Linked DNA regions of Macaca mulatta. The main gene of each other region encodes a partner of the protein of the gene in region 2 in a complex. Links are inferred from orthologs where the notes say so. Each region holds a gene or a part of one and is shown on either strand. Other genes may lie near its edges. The genes, in order: MIOS, SEH1L, WDR59 and NUP37.

Region 1 (4,175 bases), on a different chromosome or scaffold from region 2:
TCTGAGAAGCAGTCCCAGCCTAGGAACCCGGGGATCCGGCCTGTGGACCCACGGGCGGGGCCAGCGGGGTGCACAGGCGCTTTCGGGCGGAAGGCGGGGCCTCCCGGCCAGTGACCCCGCCCCGAGGCGCCTACCGGGCGGGGGAGGGCGGGACTCGCGGCGGGAAACTCCCCTTCCAAGGCGCGGCTGCGCGTCCCCGAGGCGTGGTGGTAGGGTCGTGGGCCCCAGCCCAGTGGTCCAGGTCACGGGCCGCGCCGCCGCGGCCGCCATCTTGCCCGCGTCCGGGCGCCTGCGGCAGGAGGGGCGGTGTCCCGGCCGGAAGCGGCTGTGCGGCGGCCGCGCTGCCACCTCAGGTCAGTGAGTTCGACCCGGCCCGCGTCTCGGGTCTCGGGAGCGCAGCGGCCGCAGCTAGGGGCCCGAGATAGCCTAGTTGAAAGGCTCGGGCGTCTGGGCGGGGAGCGCGTTCCGCGCTGTGGGGTAATCGCGCCGGGCGGCCAGCCGGTCGGGCCTCCGCGGGAGCCACCGGGGGCTGCGGGCGGCCGCGGGACCTGCGGGGACCTCCTCGGGGCGCAGAGGCCACGCTACAGCCTTCACCGCGGCAGGCTTGTGGGGAGCGGCGTCCCCGCCTTTCCCGGGAGGCTCAGCCAGGTGCTTGAAGCGGGAGAGTCGGATTCAGACTCCTGCTTTACCTGGAATAGCAACGTGCCCTGTTGCCATTGTACCCTCTTAAATACTGTACTTCTTAAACGGCCTATCTCCCGGTGAGCTCTGTTCTCTTCACATACGAGTAGTGAAAATTCCTTAAGAGGATGAATGAAACCTCACACATGTGGACTTTGCTGAATTGGTTAGCAAATGACTGCTTTTGCAGGCCTTTTGTATATTTTAAGGGAAATTTGGGTATGTGCAGTGCATCTCCTGGAAGATGCTGATGGTGGAAATTTCTTGAAACCGCTCTCGTAATTTGCCATGGTAAGAAAAGTAAAAGACAGCATCAAAAAGCATGTGATTGGATACTTTGTACACTTAGTAGTATTGTAATGTGTTGGACTTCACTGTCCAGTAGCCACATGGTATTGAGATGTGCTGTAAGTGTAAAATACACATCGGATTTCCCAGAGTTGGTGCCAGAAAAAATGTCAAAATCCTCACTAATAATTTTTGCATTGATTACATATTGAAAGGATAATGCCGTTGATATGTTGGTTAAATAAAATATGTTTTTAAATTTAATTCCACCTATTTTTACTTTTTAGATGTGACTACTGGAAATTTTTAAATCATATGGCTCACACTGTATTTCTTTTGGACAGTGCTGTTACAGATATTCTGATGAATAAACACAGAATGAGCATGGCTTTCCTTTGCTGATAAGTCACTGATGGGAAGTGAGACTTGTTAAACTTGAAAGGTGAGGATATAAATACAAGCTATACTTATTGCAAACCGCACCCCTTCTGCACCTAATTTTTTAATGTCTCCAACATTTGGAAAAAACATTAACTTTCAGGGCTGATTACGGGAATGGTAGTGATACTAACATCTATGTGATGTGAAGAGTTCATTTCAGTTGATGTCACAACTTTGTGAGATGGAAATGGGATAGATTTTATCTCGGTTTATGGTTTTGGAGTATTACAAGATTTGTTAGGATTTGAACTGGGGAGTGGCTGTAGGATTTCTGACTCTATATTGTTTTCTTTACACCAGATTCTTGGTGATGTATGTTCATGATCAAGGAACTGTTTATCCTGTGTATTAGATGGTGAAAAAAGTACACTTCTTAAAAGGGTGGACATAGATGCACCTCTCTATACAGGGTTACTCTTATAATGTGCAACCTGTGCAGTAGCGCATAGTCCAGCATTTATAATGGCTAGCACTTATTTTAATGGCTAGTCTGCTATCACTGTCTTGACTTTTTAAATAAGGGGCCCTGCATTTTTATTTTGCACCACGCCTTGCGTATTGTGTAGCTGATCCTTTCTCTTTGCAGTAATCTAGGATGGAAGTTGAGAGACCCTGGACAAGCACCCAAACATCTGGTCTTCACTTTACTGTTACGTAAAGTGAGAAGAATTAGTCTTTTTCTCTCAAGTTTTGATTCTGTATGAATTACTGTCATCAGATTTAGTGGATGGCAGTATAAATATTTTAGGTGCATGACAATGGAAGAAATGCTGATATTCTCCGTTGAGAGTCATGTGAATCAAAGTTCTAAAATTTACGCTACAACTCGTATTTTGTGTTTTGTAAGATGGATTTTTCTATGTGGCATCAAAATTGCTTACCATAGACCATTGGTATAAAGAGTAGGGTTGTGGAATGAAGGCCTGAAGAGTGTGTTTATTTAAACATTGATTTTTCAATGAGATGGGAAAATGGGGCAGATCTCATGATGTCAATTAAGAGGTTTCCTTTGTGGTGGTATGAGTGTGAAACCTTACTTGGCAGTATCTGTTCCTTTTCTTTGCTGTCATAGCTGCTGCCTATCACATGAGGTGCCCCTTTTCCTCCTCATTCTTAAATTTTTTAACCTCTTTAAGGTTGGGCTTAATTTTATCACTATAGTGCAGGTTTTTTTTTAGACCAGAGACTTCATCTGCTCATGTTTGCTGCTGTGTTCCCAGCTTTATGACAGCGCCTAGAACATAGAAGGTGCCCAATCTTACAGAATAAATGAAGTATGATAGCAGACACTTAAATATTGGCTGGAGCCAGCCTCTCCTATGAAGGGTAGAAGTGGAAGCATGAGGAAATAGGTAAAACTTGGAGATACCAGTTGTGAGAAGTGTCAGAGGGATCATTCAACACATGCATTTATTTAACAAATGTTTATTAAACTTCCTACTGAGTGTCTAGCACTGTACTGGGGACTAGAGGTACAGTGGAACACAAAAAAATACTTCACCTGCTCTCATGGAGTGTATAATCCAGTAGAAGAGACAGAAATGGATGATTAAAGGGAAAGAATACTGTTTAATGACAGTGTATGTCTGAGTAACCTGACCTCGACTAGGGAGGGGATGGAGGGTGGTTGATGTCAAGGTTGAGCAGGTATTAACTTGACCCAGAAGGCAGAGAACTATGCTTTAACCAGAGGAAACATCATTTGCAAAGGTATGGTGATGGGGGAGGAGGGTATACTCTAGGAATTGAAAAGGACAGTGTAAAAGGACAGCAAGAATGTTGTGCCACAAGGCCGATGCAGTAGGCAGAGACCAAAAGCATTTAGGGTTTTGTAGGTTAGGTTGAAGATTTGGAATGCTATAATAAGAGCAGCTGGAGACCATTAGAGGGTTTTAAGCAAGGAAGGATAGCCTGGTCAAAGTTGTGTTGTAGAAAGATTTTTACTCTGATATTCTATAAAGCAATATTTCCGAAGGGCCCAGGGGAAAGATGAATAAAAGAAAAACTGCCAGCACCGCACACCAGATATGTTGTATACCTTAATTTACTGAAATCAGTTTTCAGAGGCTTGAGACTATCCTCAGTGTGGTAGCACTTGGAAGCCTGAATGAGGAGACAAGATGATAAATAATTGGGTAAATGACTGGCAAACGGCAAACCCAAAGTGACAAGTAAATGAAGACATTGAGGGTGCTAGTAAGAATATAATTGAAATGATTGATCTTGGGCTTGAGAAATGCTAAAGAAGGAAATAAAATCAGTATAAGAATTCCTTAATCAGCAGTCCCCAACCTTTTTGGCACCAGGGACCGGTTTCATGGAAGACAGTTTTCTCACAGACGAGGGATGGGGTGGTTTCAGGATGATTCAAGCGCATTACATTTATTGTGCACTTTATTTACATTGCACTATATAATGAAATAATTATACAACTCACCATAATGTAGAATCAGTGGGAGCCCTGAGCTTGTTTTCCTGCAACTAGATGGTCCCATATGGGTGTGATAGGAGACAGTGACAGATCATCAGACATTAGATTCTCACAAGGAATGCACAACCTAGATCCCTGTCATGTGCAGTTCACAGTAGGGTTTGCACTGCTGTGAGAAACTGATACTGCTATTGATCTGACAGGAGGTGGAGCTCAGGCGGCAGTGTGTGAGATGAGTGGCTCTAAGTAACAGATGAAGCTTTGCTCCCTTGCCTGCTGCTCACCTCCTGCTATATGGCCTGGTTCCTAACAGGCCAGGAACCAGAACTGGTCT
Region 2 (3,592 bases):
CCGTATTATCACATTATGAAATTAATATTAAAATCTCCATTATAATATTAAAGTCTTCATTATAATGAATTTCACTTACATATGTAAGGTAATGAAATTGTCTTCTTAATTATGCAAGTATAAGTTGTATGGGTACCTAATGTCTTCTGAAATGGATGGAGATTGAGTGGCTTATCCAAAATGGCCTTATTAGTTTGAATGCAAAATTGGTCTCTGAAGACAATGAGCCCAAGAAAATCAAGTTAGGCAGCCTGCTGGGGAGCATGGCAAGGTGGTCCAGACTAAAGCCCAGAGGCAGAAAAGGACAACAAAGCCCTTGAAATCAAATTACACTGAAGAAAGGAAGGTCTGAGCTGGTTTTGCCAAAGCCCAAAATCGAACATGGGAGGCCCTCAAGCTTACCCAAACTGCACTTTGGGAAACAGTAACTGCTAAAGAGTAAATAAACTAAGACAGCTATAATTTTGAATGCTAAGTATGGGACACCATTCATTATGGTGGTGCACAAATCACAGAAATCTCTGCCCAACAGATAATCATCCAAAAAGCAGTGCAGAACCACGCTACAGAGACCACAGTCAGTGTCAACTGTCCAGACCTTCTCACTCAGCCTGGCACTTATAAAAAGCTTACAATCAGGGCCCCAAGGCTCTTAACGTTTGCACAAAGCAGGGAAGATACTGGATTTTCTCCTATTAAGGACTGATTGTCTAAAGTAATCTATTTGATAAAATAAGAGCGACTATAGTCCTAGCCTGAGTCTGTAGAGCAGTCAAGTAAGGTACATATATGACAACTGGTATCTTTTTACTGGAGATACTGCATATTCTGTAGTAATTACTTTAGTTTTAAAAGTTGCTCTGTTCCATATAACTTGAAAAACAATTCAGTGATTAACTGCTATGAACTAGGTAAACTGATGTTCGAAATAACATAAATTAATATGACATTAAAAGTAACCGTAAAAGACCATTTTTAAAAAATATTTCAGAGTTTACATTTTTAAGTAAAAACTCCAGAGCAGAAATATAAACCAACAATTACCCCTCCACTGAAATCTTACCTTTCCACAATCTTACACAGCCATCATCTCCTGAAGATGCTAGCACTGTTCCTGTTATATTCCAACTCACTCGCCAGACCTGAGAATTATGATTATCAAACTGAGCCACTATATGGATTTCAAACTTTGTTGGCCCACCAGAGGAAGTCAGTTCTTTCCTGTTAATAAAAAACATTTTCTGAGGCATTCTAAGCAAAGTTTTAAAATACACACACACACACATATAAAATTCTAAATTAGTACAAGTGGTCTCACCACCACATCACTTTATAATAATGTACTCATCTGCATAAACCCCACCCTTGGCCCTTGAGCTGGGCCAATGTCATTTCCATTTAACTCGCCAAGGCCTGGAGTGATCCCAGCACATAAACGATATTCAGTGACTGTTTCATGGAAGAAAGAAACAACAAAACAGGATGATTTTATTCTCCCACACAAGGCCGAGGAATAAAACAGATGACAATAATTAATTTTAAAAGGCAGGGCAAGGCCAAGTGCAGTGGCTCACACCTGTAATCCCAGCACTTTGGGAGGCCAAGATGGACAGATCACTTGAGGACAGGAGTTCAAGATCAGCCTGGCCAACATGGCGAAACCCCGTCCCTACTAAAAATACAAAATAAAAAATTAGCCAGGCGTGGTGGCGGGCACCTGTAGTCCCAGCTACTCAGGAGGCTGAGGCATAAGAATTGCTTGAACCTGGCAGGTAGAGGTTGCACTGAGCCAAGATCATGTCACTGCCCTCCAGCCTGGGCAATGAAGCGAGATCTTGCCTCAAAAAAAAAAAAAAAAAAAAAAAAGGGCAGGGCAGCAAGTAGGAAAGAATGAAAGAACAGAAAGAAAAGAACTGGAATTCACAATTCAAAATTAAAGTTAAATATGTTATTCACAAGACTGTATCAATACTAATTTAGTTTTCCCTAAATAGACTGCCACTTGTCATTAAATATTTATAGAATATCAGTTATATTGGGAGAATTGTTAGTATTAGCCTAAATAAAGCACAATTAAGAGAATATAAATCTACTCTTTACTCAATTCCTCTTTCCAAAAAGACATATATTTATATATAAAATGTTCATTCAATAATCCATTCTTCAAAAATGACATTAATTTAAAAGTAATTGTAAAAGACCATTTTTTAAAAATATTTCAGAGTTTACATTTTTAAGTAAAACTTCCAGAGCAGAAATATAAACCAAATCATAGTTACCTCTACTCTCTCCTCCACAAACAAAGGTAATCAGGAGGCAAGAGTATTTTCAAATTCATAAATGCTTCGAAAACTCACCTCACAGGTTTTAATGTAAAAATTCTCACATCTTTGGTTGCTATTGCTAGAATATGGAAAGATCTTCCCAAGTTTGGAGCGAATGCAATATCATGAACGGGATCAGTGACTGTCATAAGAGTTTCAGCTTTTGCATATTTCCTAATGGAAAAACAAACAATTTAAACATTTTAGAAATAAAATGTACAAAGATGCACACATCACTGCATCGCACCTTTTTCATACTGCTCACAGTCATGTAGCGCTCACCTCTGTAGTGGGCTCAACAGTGGTCCTGACCCCCAGAACCTGTGAACGTAACCTTATTCAAAAAAGGTCTTTGAAAACGTAATTAAGGACCTCAGAATGACATCCTAGATTTAGGGTGGGTCCTAAATCCAATGTGCAGTAAGTATCCTTAAAAAAGAAGAGGAGAGACGTAGAGACACAGAGGAGGCGGCCATGTGAACACAGAGGCAGAGATTGGAGTCTTGCTGCCACAAGGCAAAGAACTGGAGCCAGCAGGAGCTGGACTAGACCAGGAAGGATTCCAGAGGAAGCACAGCCCCGCCGACACCTCGATTTCAGACTTCCGGCCTCCAGAACTGAGGGAATACATTCTGTGTTAAGACACCTGATTTGTGGTAATTTGTTATGGTAGCCCTAGGAAATTAATACAACCTCCCATGTTTCCTCCTCTGATAATGTACACTGAGCTTGAAATGGTTTAATAAAAATTTAACTAGAATAAGGTCTTGGCTGGCCACAGTGGCTCACACCTGTAATCCCAGCATTTTGGGAGGCTGAAGTGGAAGAAATGCTTCAACCCAGTAGTTCAAGACCAGCCTGGGCAACACAGCAAGACCCCACCTCTACACAAAACACAAAAATAGCTGGGCGTGGTGGTGCACACCCGTAGTCCCAGCTGCTTAGGAGGCTGAGGTGGGAGGATGGCTTGAGCCCAGGAGGCAGAGATTGCAGTGAGCTGAGATTACACCACTGCACTCCAGCCTGGGCAACAGAGTGAGGCTCTGTTGCAAAAAAAAAAAAAAGAAACCCGAGATGGCTGCACTCTTGCTGAGACGTGTTGGTTGTCATTACCTCCAAGCCCACTTTGGCCCTCAGCTCTGTATCAGAAATGCTGTTCCCGTGGGAACCACGGCAAAAGAAGAGATAAGAGCGGTTCTGGAATAATAATATAGGTTCACACCGTCCTGTGTCTCCCCACATCACTATCTACAGCTGGTCTCTTCCCG
Region 3 (3,592 bases), on a different chromosome or scaffold from region 2:
AAAGATTCCCTGGGCATGGTGGCGCCTGCCTGTATTCCCAGTATTTGGGAGGTAGGAGGTGGGAGAATCACTTGAACCCAGAAGGTGGAGGTTGCAGTGAGCTGAGATTGTGCCACACTGCACTCCAGCCTGGGCGACAGAGTGAGACCCTGTGTCAAAGAAAAAAAAAAACTTTCAGCTTATTCCATTGGTATGAAAATTTAATAATCTGATATGAAAATTTAAGAATCTTTTTGAAAATGAATTGTCTTCCACACAAATTTGTCTTTGTAGAGTCTTTTCCTTCACCCAATTACTAGGAACATGGAGCGTTCAGTTAAATGCACGTGCATCGAAAGACGCTTTGTGGTTTGTTTGCAAAGCCATTGTGGATTTGTCTCTTGCAGATGGATGCGGCAGACAGGAGCTGCACAGTGTCCGTGCACTGCAGCAACCATCGCGTCAAGATGCTGGTGAAGTTCCCTGCTCAGTATCCAAACAACGCCGCCCCTTCCTTCCAGTTTATTAACCCCACAACCATCACGTCCACCATGAAAGCTAAGCTGCTAAAGGTAGGGGTCTGGGTTCCCAAATTCTCCTGCTGTTCTGCATCATTGTCTAGACTGAGTAGGAAAGAAGACTGAAAACTCTAGTAGATGAGATTCAGAAGTCATCTGTTTCATACACACACTAGTGTTAGCAACGTAACCTCTGCACTTGCCATTTAGTTTGTGTAGAAAACATAAGAGCGGTGGTTCTTAACCTTTTTTGGGTCATGGCCTTCCTCAGAAAAATCTACACAATGATTGCATATGGTTTGAGAAATACTGCCTATAAATATGTGAATTGCATATAATCTGTCCACAGATCTCATTAACGTTATGCATTCATCTCAGGTTATGAGATTTGCAATCTAATTTCATTTAGGAGTCCAGGTTAGGAGCACTGCAGTCCAATTTCGTTTATGTGGAAACAACAAGCAAGATGTATTCTGAAGCTAAAAGATATTTTACAATTAGAAAAAAACATGTGTAAGGTCATAAAAAAAATTTTATCCCATAGAAGGAGCTGGTGTTATCCTAGAGGTAGGCTGGCTAGCTGCACAGTGGGTGTCCAGATGGAGGTGCCACAGCCTGACATCAGTGTTTAATTCTGCAGATTCAGAGACTTGATGTGTCAGTTCATCCAGAGCAAATCAGGTGGAATCTCCATGACAAAGCCCCATGAGCCTCTTCATACCCCTTGTTCAGTTTGAGCAGTGTCACAAGTAAAGGGACTGGAGTTTTTTTGGCAAACTCAGGCCAACCTGAATGTTGCTCATTTTTTGCCCGGTTTGGGTCGTGGACACTTGATTGTTACGCTTTGTTGGGGTATCACATGGAACTAGGACGTTTTCAAGTGGCTTAAGGATCTCTGAAATGCCAGTAACTCAGATCTTGTGGTATTTGACATGTTAAACTTGGAATCTGAATATGTCGTTGCCTAGTTTGGACATACAAAAAAGATAGATTTTTCTATTAGTATAAAATGATACGATTAGATTGCAAATTTTTTTTGTGAAAAATCAGACCTTTTCCCAGTGCAGTGGCTCACTCCTGTAATCTCAGCACTTTGGGTGGCCGAGGCGCATGGATCACCTGAGGTCAGGAGTTCAAGACCAGCCTGGGCAACATGGTGAAACCCCATCTCTACTAAAAATACAAAAAGTAGCCAGGCGTGGTGGCGCATGCCTGTATTCCCAGCTACTCGGTAGGCGAATCACTTGAACACAGGAGGCAGAGGTTGCAATGAACCGAGATCGCACCACTGCACTCCAGCCTGGGCAACAAAGACAGACTCTATCTCAAAAAAAAAAAAAAAAAAAAACAGAATAGCCTGTCAGAGAAATGTGTTCCTCTTCTTGACTGTGTTTTGGGCCTTTTCTAGATCCTGAAGGACACGGCCCTGCAGAAAGTGAAGCGTGGCCAGAGCTGCCTGGAGCCCTGCCTGCGCCAGCTCGTCTCCTGCCTCGAGTCCTTTGTGGTGGGAAGCATGAAACTGTTGTACCAACTTATGCTTTGGGGTTTTGTTTCATTTCTTTCTCCCTAAAATCATGGGCTTTTTTTTTTTTTCCTGCTGGGTGCTTATTTTGTAATTCAACTTCAAGACAGGTTGTGGTTTTAGCTTATGGAATTTTAAATTTCAGAACCAGGAAGACAGCGCTTCCAGCAATCCGTTTGCACTCCCCAACTCCGTCACACCCCCGTTACCGACTTTTGCTCGTGTGACCACAGCCTACGGGTCGTACCAGGATGCCAACATTCCGTTTCCTAGGACTTCTGGGGCCAGGTTCTGTGGAGCAGGTGGGTCTCTTTGGTTCTCTGATTCTAGATTTTGAGAGGGAGCAGCTAAGAATGCCATAGATTCTGTATAAACATCTTGAGCAACAAATGTTTGCTTTTACTCCCAGAGAACTCCAACGAGACTTTCATAGTAGCGTGGCAGGGTGTGAGGTCCAGTCGGGGTCTCTGGACTTATCCTAAGAGTGTGCACCATTCTGGTGGTCTTAACTTTCTTCATTCTGATGAGCTTGGGTTTGAGTCTTTACTCAGAGCCCTGAGTCTTAGCAGGGGACAGTCCCCTGGTAGGGAGCCTTAGAGTCCCGCTGATGACTCTGCCCCGTCCACCTACATCCTCTTTCCTGGACTCGAGTGCTGACCTTTGTTCTTGGTAAGGGTCACCGCAGTCGTGAGTCTTGCAGCTTATGAAAATGTGTCTTACCCTCAGGTATACAGAGATAGAAGACTGGCCAGTCCTGCCTCAGGATTTCCCACGTCCAGCTTGTTGACGCTGACGGCTCATGTGATGTCTTCTTCTTTAGGTTACCTGGTGTATTTCACAAGGCCCATGACGATGCATCGGGCGGTGTCTCCCACAGAGCCTACTCCGAGGTGAGTGCGGGAGATGCAGAAGCCACTCTACGTTCCCGTGGCCAGAGACCTGGGAAGGACCATGGAGTTTGTCTTTGGACAATGCGTTTTAGTTCTTCAGTAAACTCCTATTACAAGATTTATTTGAGAAAGATTGAAGTCAATTAAGTTGCAAGAAAGCTGAGATTTCTGCTGTACAGTTATTAGCAAACCATTAGAAGAAGTAGATTGATAAAAGCTCTTGTCAAAACAAGGCAAATTGTTTTTAAATATGCCTTTCCCCTATTGCTAGCATATTATTTATTATTTGTTTTTGATTATTTTATTATTCAATTTAACATTAAATAAAACTGGAAAAATAACAAAAAAACCATCTGTAGTTTCACAACATTAATATGCCACTTCTGATATTACCAAACAATGTGTAATTTTATAACATTATGTAAGTAGTGCACTGGGAAAACAGAAACGAAATTTTTTTTTTTTTTTTAAGATAGGATCTGGCTCTGTCACCCAGGCTGGAGTGCAGTGGCATGATCATAGCTCACTGCAGCCCTTACCTCCTGGCTCAAGTGATCCTCCTGCCTCTGCCTCCCAAGTAGCTGGGACTACAGGCGTGCACCACCATGCCCAGCTAATTTTTGTATGTTTTTTTAGAGATAACGTTTTGCAGTGTTGCCAGGCTGCTCTCAAACTCCTGAGCT
Region 4 (4,348 bases), on a different chromosome or scaffold from region 2:
TTAAAATAAGGATTATCTTTCTGACAGGAATGTGGAAATCTTTCCACTTAATTTACCTTTACTTAGTTTTCTCTCAAGACAAGAGGTATGAAACTGGGTGCAATGGAACTTGAAGGTTCTAGGATAACAGAATAGTAATAATGTTTAACAGTGTTTAGCTAGATAAAAAATAACTTCAAAGAAAAGCAATAATTTATTTTGAAATGGACTTACTTAATTGTATTTCCAATGTCTGGTGCAGAATATAATTTGTGTTTACTATTGTCCAAATTAATAAAAATCTAATTTTTTCCTTAGTAATTTGGGCATGAGACCTACATTGCTAATCTCACAGGTATGAGGGTCAACTGAGACAATACATGTGACCATAAAACATAACAGAACACAAATGTTTATACTAGTTCTTTTTTCTCACGTTGTCATTTTCCTTCTTTCTCCCATCTTCTCCCTCTCTCATCTTTGCCTTTCTCTTTTCCTAATTTGTTCTCCATTGACTTTCTCTCTCAACATTTCTTAATCATAAATGAGAGATAAACATTTTTCAGTGTTTTTGAATACAATTTTATGTTCAGTTATTAATTTTAGAAGTAATGAAGTAAAAATTAGTTTTACCTGTAGGAGGCTGCTTTACTCTTTTGTGCATTGGTGGCCTGCATTAGAGAAATGGTTTTTCCTCAGTCTTTTTCAAGTATGTAACATTGTTTTAATCATATAACTTTTTATGATCCTAAACCATGTCCATGTAAGTGAGGCTGAGGGTCATATTTAGTCTAAAAGGTAGTAATTTCTACCCCCCCACCCAAAGAGACAGTATGAAATAGCCTAGGAGCTGTCATATTCTACTCAGACAGCAACAAACTGAAACTTTTAATTCATACTTCCTCTTAAATATGACTATATTCCAATTTGTAAAGCTTTATATATTTATTGTGCTATAAAATGCCAAATTGCATTTCTGATGTCACAATACTGTAAGATTCAGAATTGCCGCTGGGCATGATGGCTCACGCCTGCAATCCCAGCACTTTGGGAAGCTGAGGCAGGCGGATCACGAGGTCAGGAGTTCAAGACCAGCCTGACCAACATGGTGAAACCCTGTCTCTACTAAAAATACAAAAAAGTTAGCTGGGCATGATGGCACGCACCGGTAATCCCAGCTACTCAGGAGGCTGAGGCAGGATAATCGCTTGAAGTCAGGAGGCAGAGGTTGCAGTGAGCAGAGATCGCACCACTGCACTCCAACCTGGGTGACACAGCAAGACTCCATATCAAAAAAAAAAAAAAAAAGATACAGAATTGCCTTTTCAGTAAAGGAGGAAATAACATTTATAATGATATAATATCACTTTAGTGATAGTTATTTTAAACCTTAGAAAATTGGACACTTCCAAATTACCGTATTAATTATAATTTGAGAAATACAGTTCTATTAATAATATTCTGATAGGCCAGGAAGGGTGGCTCACACCTGTAATCCCAGCACTTTGGGAGGCCAAGGTGGGCAGATGACATGAGGTCTGGAGTTCGAGACCAGTCTGGCCAACATCATGAAACCCCCTACTAAAAATACAAAAATTAGCTGGGGGTGGTGGCGCATGCCTGTAATCCCAACTACTCAGGAGGCTGAGGCAGGAGAATCAATTGAACCCAGGAGATGAAGGCTGTAGTGAGCCAAGGTCACACCAGTGCACTCCAGCCTGGGCGACCAAGCAAGACTCTGTCTCAAAAATAATAATAATAATAAAAATAATAATATTCTGACAGACAAAAGATTAGCCAGATAGTCCTGACGCTTGAACCTTTGTTGTTCAAAGTCTCTCTTACATGTAAAACTAGTTTTCCTCTGCGAAAACATGGTGTATGTTCACCACAAAGCAATGTTACTTTGGTGATTAAATCTGAGAGTATTACCATTGCCCATATCAATGACAACTAAAACATATATATGGATCACAGTGTTGTCAGATGCCCTCTCGGAAGTTTACACATACTAAAATTTGAGCAGTTTTCCTCTTTTTTACAGGAGAGGCTAAATATCTTATTCAAGGTCTCATAGCTAGTAAGAAGTAAGTAAAGCAGGAGTAAACATGTAGGCATTCTAGTTCTAGAATTCACGCTCTTAATAGCGATGCTTAACTGCCTCCTCAATTAATAAGACTCCATACTCTGCATACTTCAGATGCACAAAAAGTATGACAGCATACTAATAGGAAAGCTGAATATTATAAAAGCTATAAAATCTCCTGGAAGATCATTTTCCAGGCTCTCAATATTAGCTGGTTTCGTATGTCAAAGCAGGATGTAGAAAAACCGTAATTAATTGGATCTCATTTATATTGTTTTTTTCCTGTACATACCATTGTTCAGTTAATCATAGCCTTCAGTTATCAGAATATTCCATTAATGATCATGAAGCAAAAGAGAAGCCTCATACTATTCTTTTTCACTATCTATATAATGTTTACATAAATCTCAGGCACATATAACTGGGAACATCTTTCTCTATGGGCGTTATCTTTTTTTTTTTAACATTCAAACTCAATATACTTTCAAAGTTTAGATTTGGTTTGTGTAAGTTCTCTTATCAGTGAAATATGTTCACTGTCATTCGGTGCAGTTTTGTAGACTAACCTGAAACGTACACGTGCCAATGACCACATAATTATTGCCACCATATGCAATTAGGTTTCCTGAATCCCCATTCTCAAAGGGATTAAATTCTACCACATGCACATAATCTTCACAATCCACAGTGTAGGCAGCATTTCTTGAGGCATCTTGCTTCATCTTGTATGTCAAAATTCAAGCAGTTGTGAAAATTAAATAGCCTTCTACTGGACAAGGTCACGAAACTGTGGATTACAGCACAGGTACAATTAGAATGGTTGAAGTGTTAGTCATTAAACAAATGCATCAAAATAAGGTTGTGGTGTTACAATGAGACAGAAAGCTCAAAAGAAACATTTAAAGTCCTTATCAAGGGACAGAAACTGAAGGAAAAATATTAAATCTAGTTATTAATGGTTCCACATTGGCTCTACAGCTTTTTCCCGTATCTGTGATTCTAGCAGACAAAAACACCATAAAGTTCTGTTTAGATTATCTAAAACAAAAAGTATTCCATCTGAAGATGGAATCATTTTAATAGCAAATATGTTAATAAAAATAACCTTTATGAACCACTATTTGCAGGTGCCACATTAAGGATTTCACTGACATGACCACATCTAGTATCTGTACAAATCTAAAGGCAGGTACTACCTCTGGTCTCCATTTTGCAGATGGAGAAACTGTAGCTTCAGTAGGTTAACTAACTTGCCAAGCTTGTAAGCAGGGCCAGGATTTGGAAGACTTCATTGTGTGTGGAGAACCAGTGCTAATGAAGAAAAAAACAGCCTTCTGGCTTAAAGGAGACCACAATTTAGCGATAGTTATGACTCAACGTGAAAAGGGCTACAATATAAACAGATACAAAATACAGGATCTGTTGTAAGGAGTGCCAAAATTTGTGATACAAAAATAATGTTCGGGGGGTTGGGGGAAGGGAGAGCATCAGGATAAATAGCTAATGCATGTGGAGCTTAATACTTAGGTGATGGGTTGACAAGCGCAGTAAACCACCATAGCACACGTTTACCTTTGTAATAAACCTACACGTCCCGCACACGTATCCCGGAACTTAAAATAAAATTTAAAATAGTAATATTCTTAAAACTAGGCACAAGACTTTAACTAACCGTCAGGGACTAGTGTGCACTCTGGAAGTAGCATTCCCACAGGAGAATTATGGGTTTTAGAGTTTTTGGTTTTTTTAAAAAATTCGACACAAGCGTTGTCCTGAAAACAGACGGGCTCCGTAACAAACATATCAAGCATTTTAACAATATCTACTGAAAATCAGATGAGTCCCACCTCGAGACGCTTATAAACTAGTAACCTTAGGAATGGACATCCGGGACTGAAAACTTGTTAAGGGTGACCAGCAAGTGTTAGGGACATGGAGGCAGAGAGGTATAGGAAGTGCAAGAGATTCGAGGTCAGGATATTGTGCAGTTCCCACACCTACTGCTCATTAAAGCAGTGCCCAGGGCCTCACCATACACATTCGGCAGGACTTGCCCCTGTAAAACTAGAAGGGCAGAGAAGAAGGGAGGGAACAAGATAACTCCCTGCAATGAGCCCCGACACCTCTCCCGGGCCAGGCGAGTTCCTCAAGACCCCGCTCCCACCTCCCGGGGCCCGAGGTGGGAAGGAAAAACTCCTGGGGATAGAATGGCAGGGCTGGGCGGCCGGCAGAAAAGCATCACGGCCTCTTGGGCTCCCCGCTCGATACCCACCGCAGAGCGCC

What was found.
Region 1: the proteins of SEH1L (region 2) and MIOS are in contact, whole or in part, in a cryo-EM structure (PDB 7UHY), measured with the Homo sapiens proteins. The link is inferred for Macaca mulatta from reciprocal best matches to the Homo sapiens genes SEH1L and MIOS. Residues at the interface, in NP_112493.2 of Homo sapiens: Met1, Phe2, Val3, Ala4, Arg5, Ser6, Ile7, Ala9, His11, Lys12, Asp13, Leu14, Ile15, His16, Asp17, Val18, Phe20, Phe22, His23, Gly24, Arg25, Met27, Trp47, Ser173, Ser174, Ser175, Asn230, Leu231, Gly232, Arg233; in NP_001357005.1 of Homo sapiens: Arg279, Arg316, Ser317, Phe353, Glu354, Arg355, Ile356, Ser357, Leu358, Ala359, Trp360, Pro362, Leu366, Met367, Trp368, Ala369, Cys370, Gly371, Arg372, Leu374, Tyr375, Glu376, Cys377, Thr378, Glu379, Glu380, Glu387, Asp389, Ile390, Ala391.
Region 3: the proteins of SEH1L (region 2) and WDR59 are in contact, whole or in part, in a cryo-EM structure (PDB 7UHY), measured with the Homo sapiens proteins. The link is inferred for Macaca mulatta from reciprocal best matches to the Homo sapiens genes SEH1L and WDR59. Residues at the interface, in NP_112493.2 of Homo sapiens: Asn308, Tyr309, Met310, Asn312, Lys314; in NP_085058.3 of Homo sapiens: Pro713, Asp714, Glu716, Thr717, Pro718, Arg721, Arg837, Glu840, Gln843, His844, Asn847.
Region 4: SEH1L (region 2) and NUP37 share a complex: the UniProt entries of both Homo sapiens proteins name them as parts of the nup107-160 subcomplex of the nuclear pore complex. The link is inferred for Macaca mulatta from reciprocal best matches to the Homo sapiens genes SEH1L and NUP37.

What each region holds. Positions count from the first base shown.
Region 1 is NC_133408.1:120,947,989-120,952,163, reverse strand, and holds the start of MIOS (GATOR2 complex protein MIOS), read left to right. Parts: upstream 1-1,310; 5' UTR 1,311-1,411; intron 1,412-4,175. UniProt on the Homo sapiens protein: As a component of the GATOR2 complex, functions as an activator of the amino acid-sensing branch of the mTORC1 signaling pathway. The GATOR2 complex indirectly activates mTORC1 through the inhibition of the GATOR1 subcomplex.
Region 2 is NC_133423.1:83,645,152-83,648,743, reverse strand, and holds part of SEH1L (nucleoporin SEH1), read right to left. Parts: coding exon of another isoform or gene 3,579-3,592; intron 3,476-3,578; coding exon of another isoform or gene 3,399-3,475; exon of another isoform or gene 3,266-3,398; intron 2,499-3,265; coding exon 2,358-2,498; intron 1,222-2,357; coding exon 1,064-1,221; intron 1-1,063. Other genes in the region: succinate dehydrogenase cytochrome b560 subunit, mitochondrial-like, read left to right, coding at 3,399-3,475, 3,579-3,592. UniProt on the Homo sapiens protein: Component of the Nup107-160 subcomplex of the nuclear pore complex (NPC). The Nup107-160 subcomplex is required for the assembly of a functional NPC.
Region 3 is NC_133425.1:70,223,351-70,226,942, reverse strand, and holds part of WDR59 (GATOR2 complex protein WDR59), read left to right. Parts: intron 1-386; coding exon 387-551; intron 552-1,905; coding exon 1,906-2,001; intron 2,002-2,164; coding exon 2,165-2,321; intron 2,322-2,839; coding exon 2,840-2,909; intron 2,910-3,592. UniProt on the Homo sapiens protein: As a component of the GATOR2 complex, functions as an activator of the amino acid-sensing branch of the mTORC1 signaling pathway. The GATOR2 complex indirectly activates mTORC1 through the inhibition of the GATOR1 subcomplex.
Region 4 is NC_133416.1:109,432,149-109,436,496, forward strand, and holds the start of NUP37 (nucleoporin Nup37), read right to left. Parts: upstream 2,846-4,348; 5' UTR 2,788-2,845; coding exon 2,632-2,787; intron 1-2,631. UniProt on the Homo sapiens protein: Component of the Nup107-160 subcomplex of the nuclear pore complex (NPC). The Nup107-160 subcomplex is required for the assembly of a functional NPC.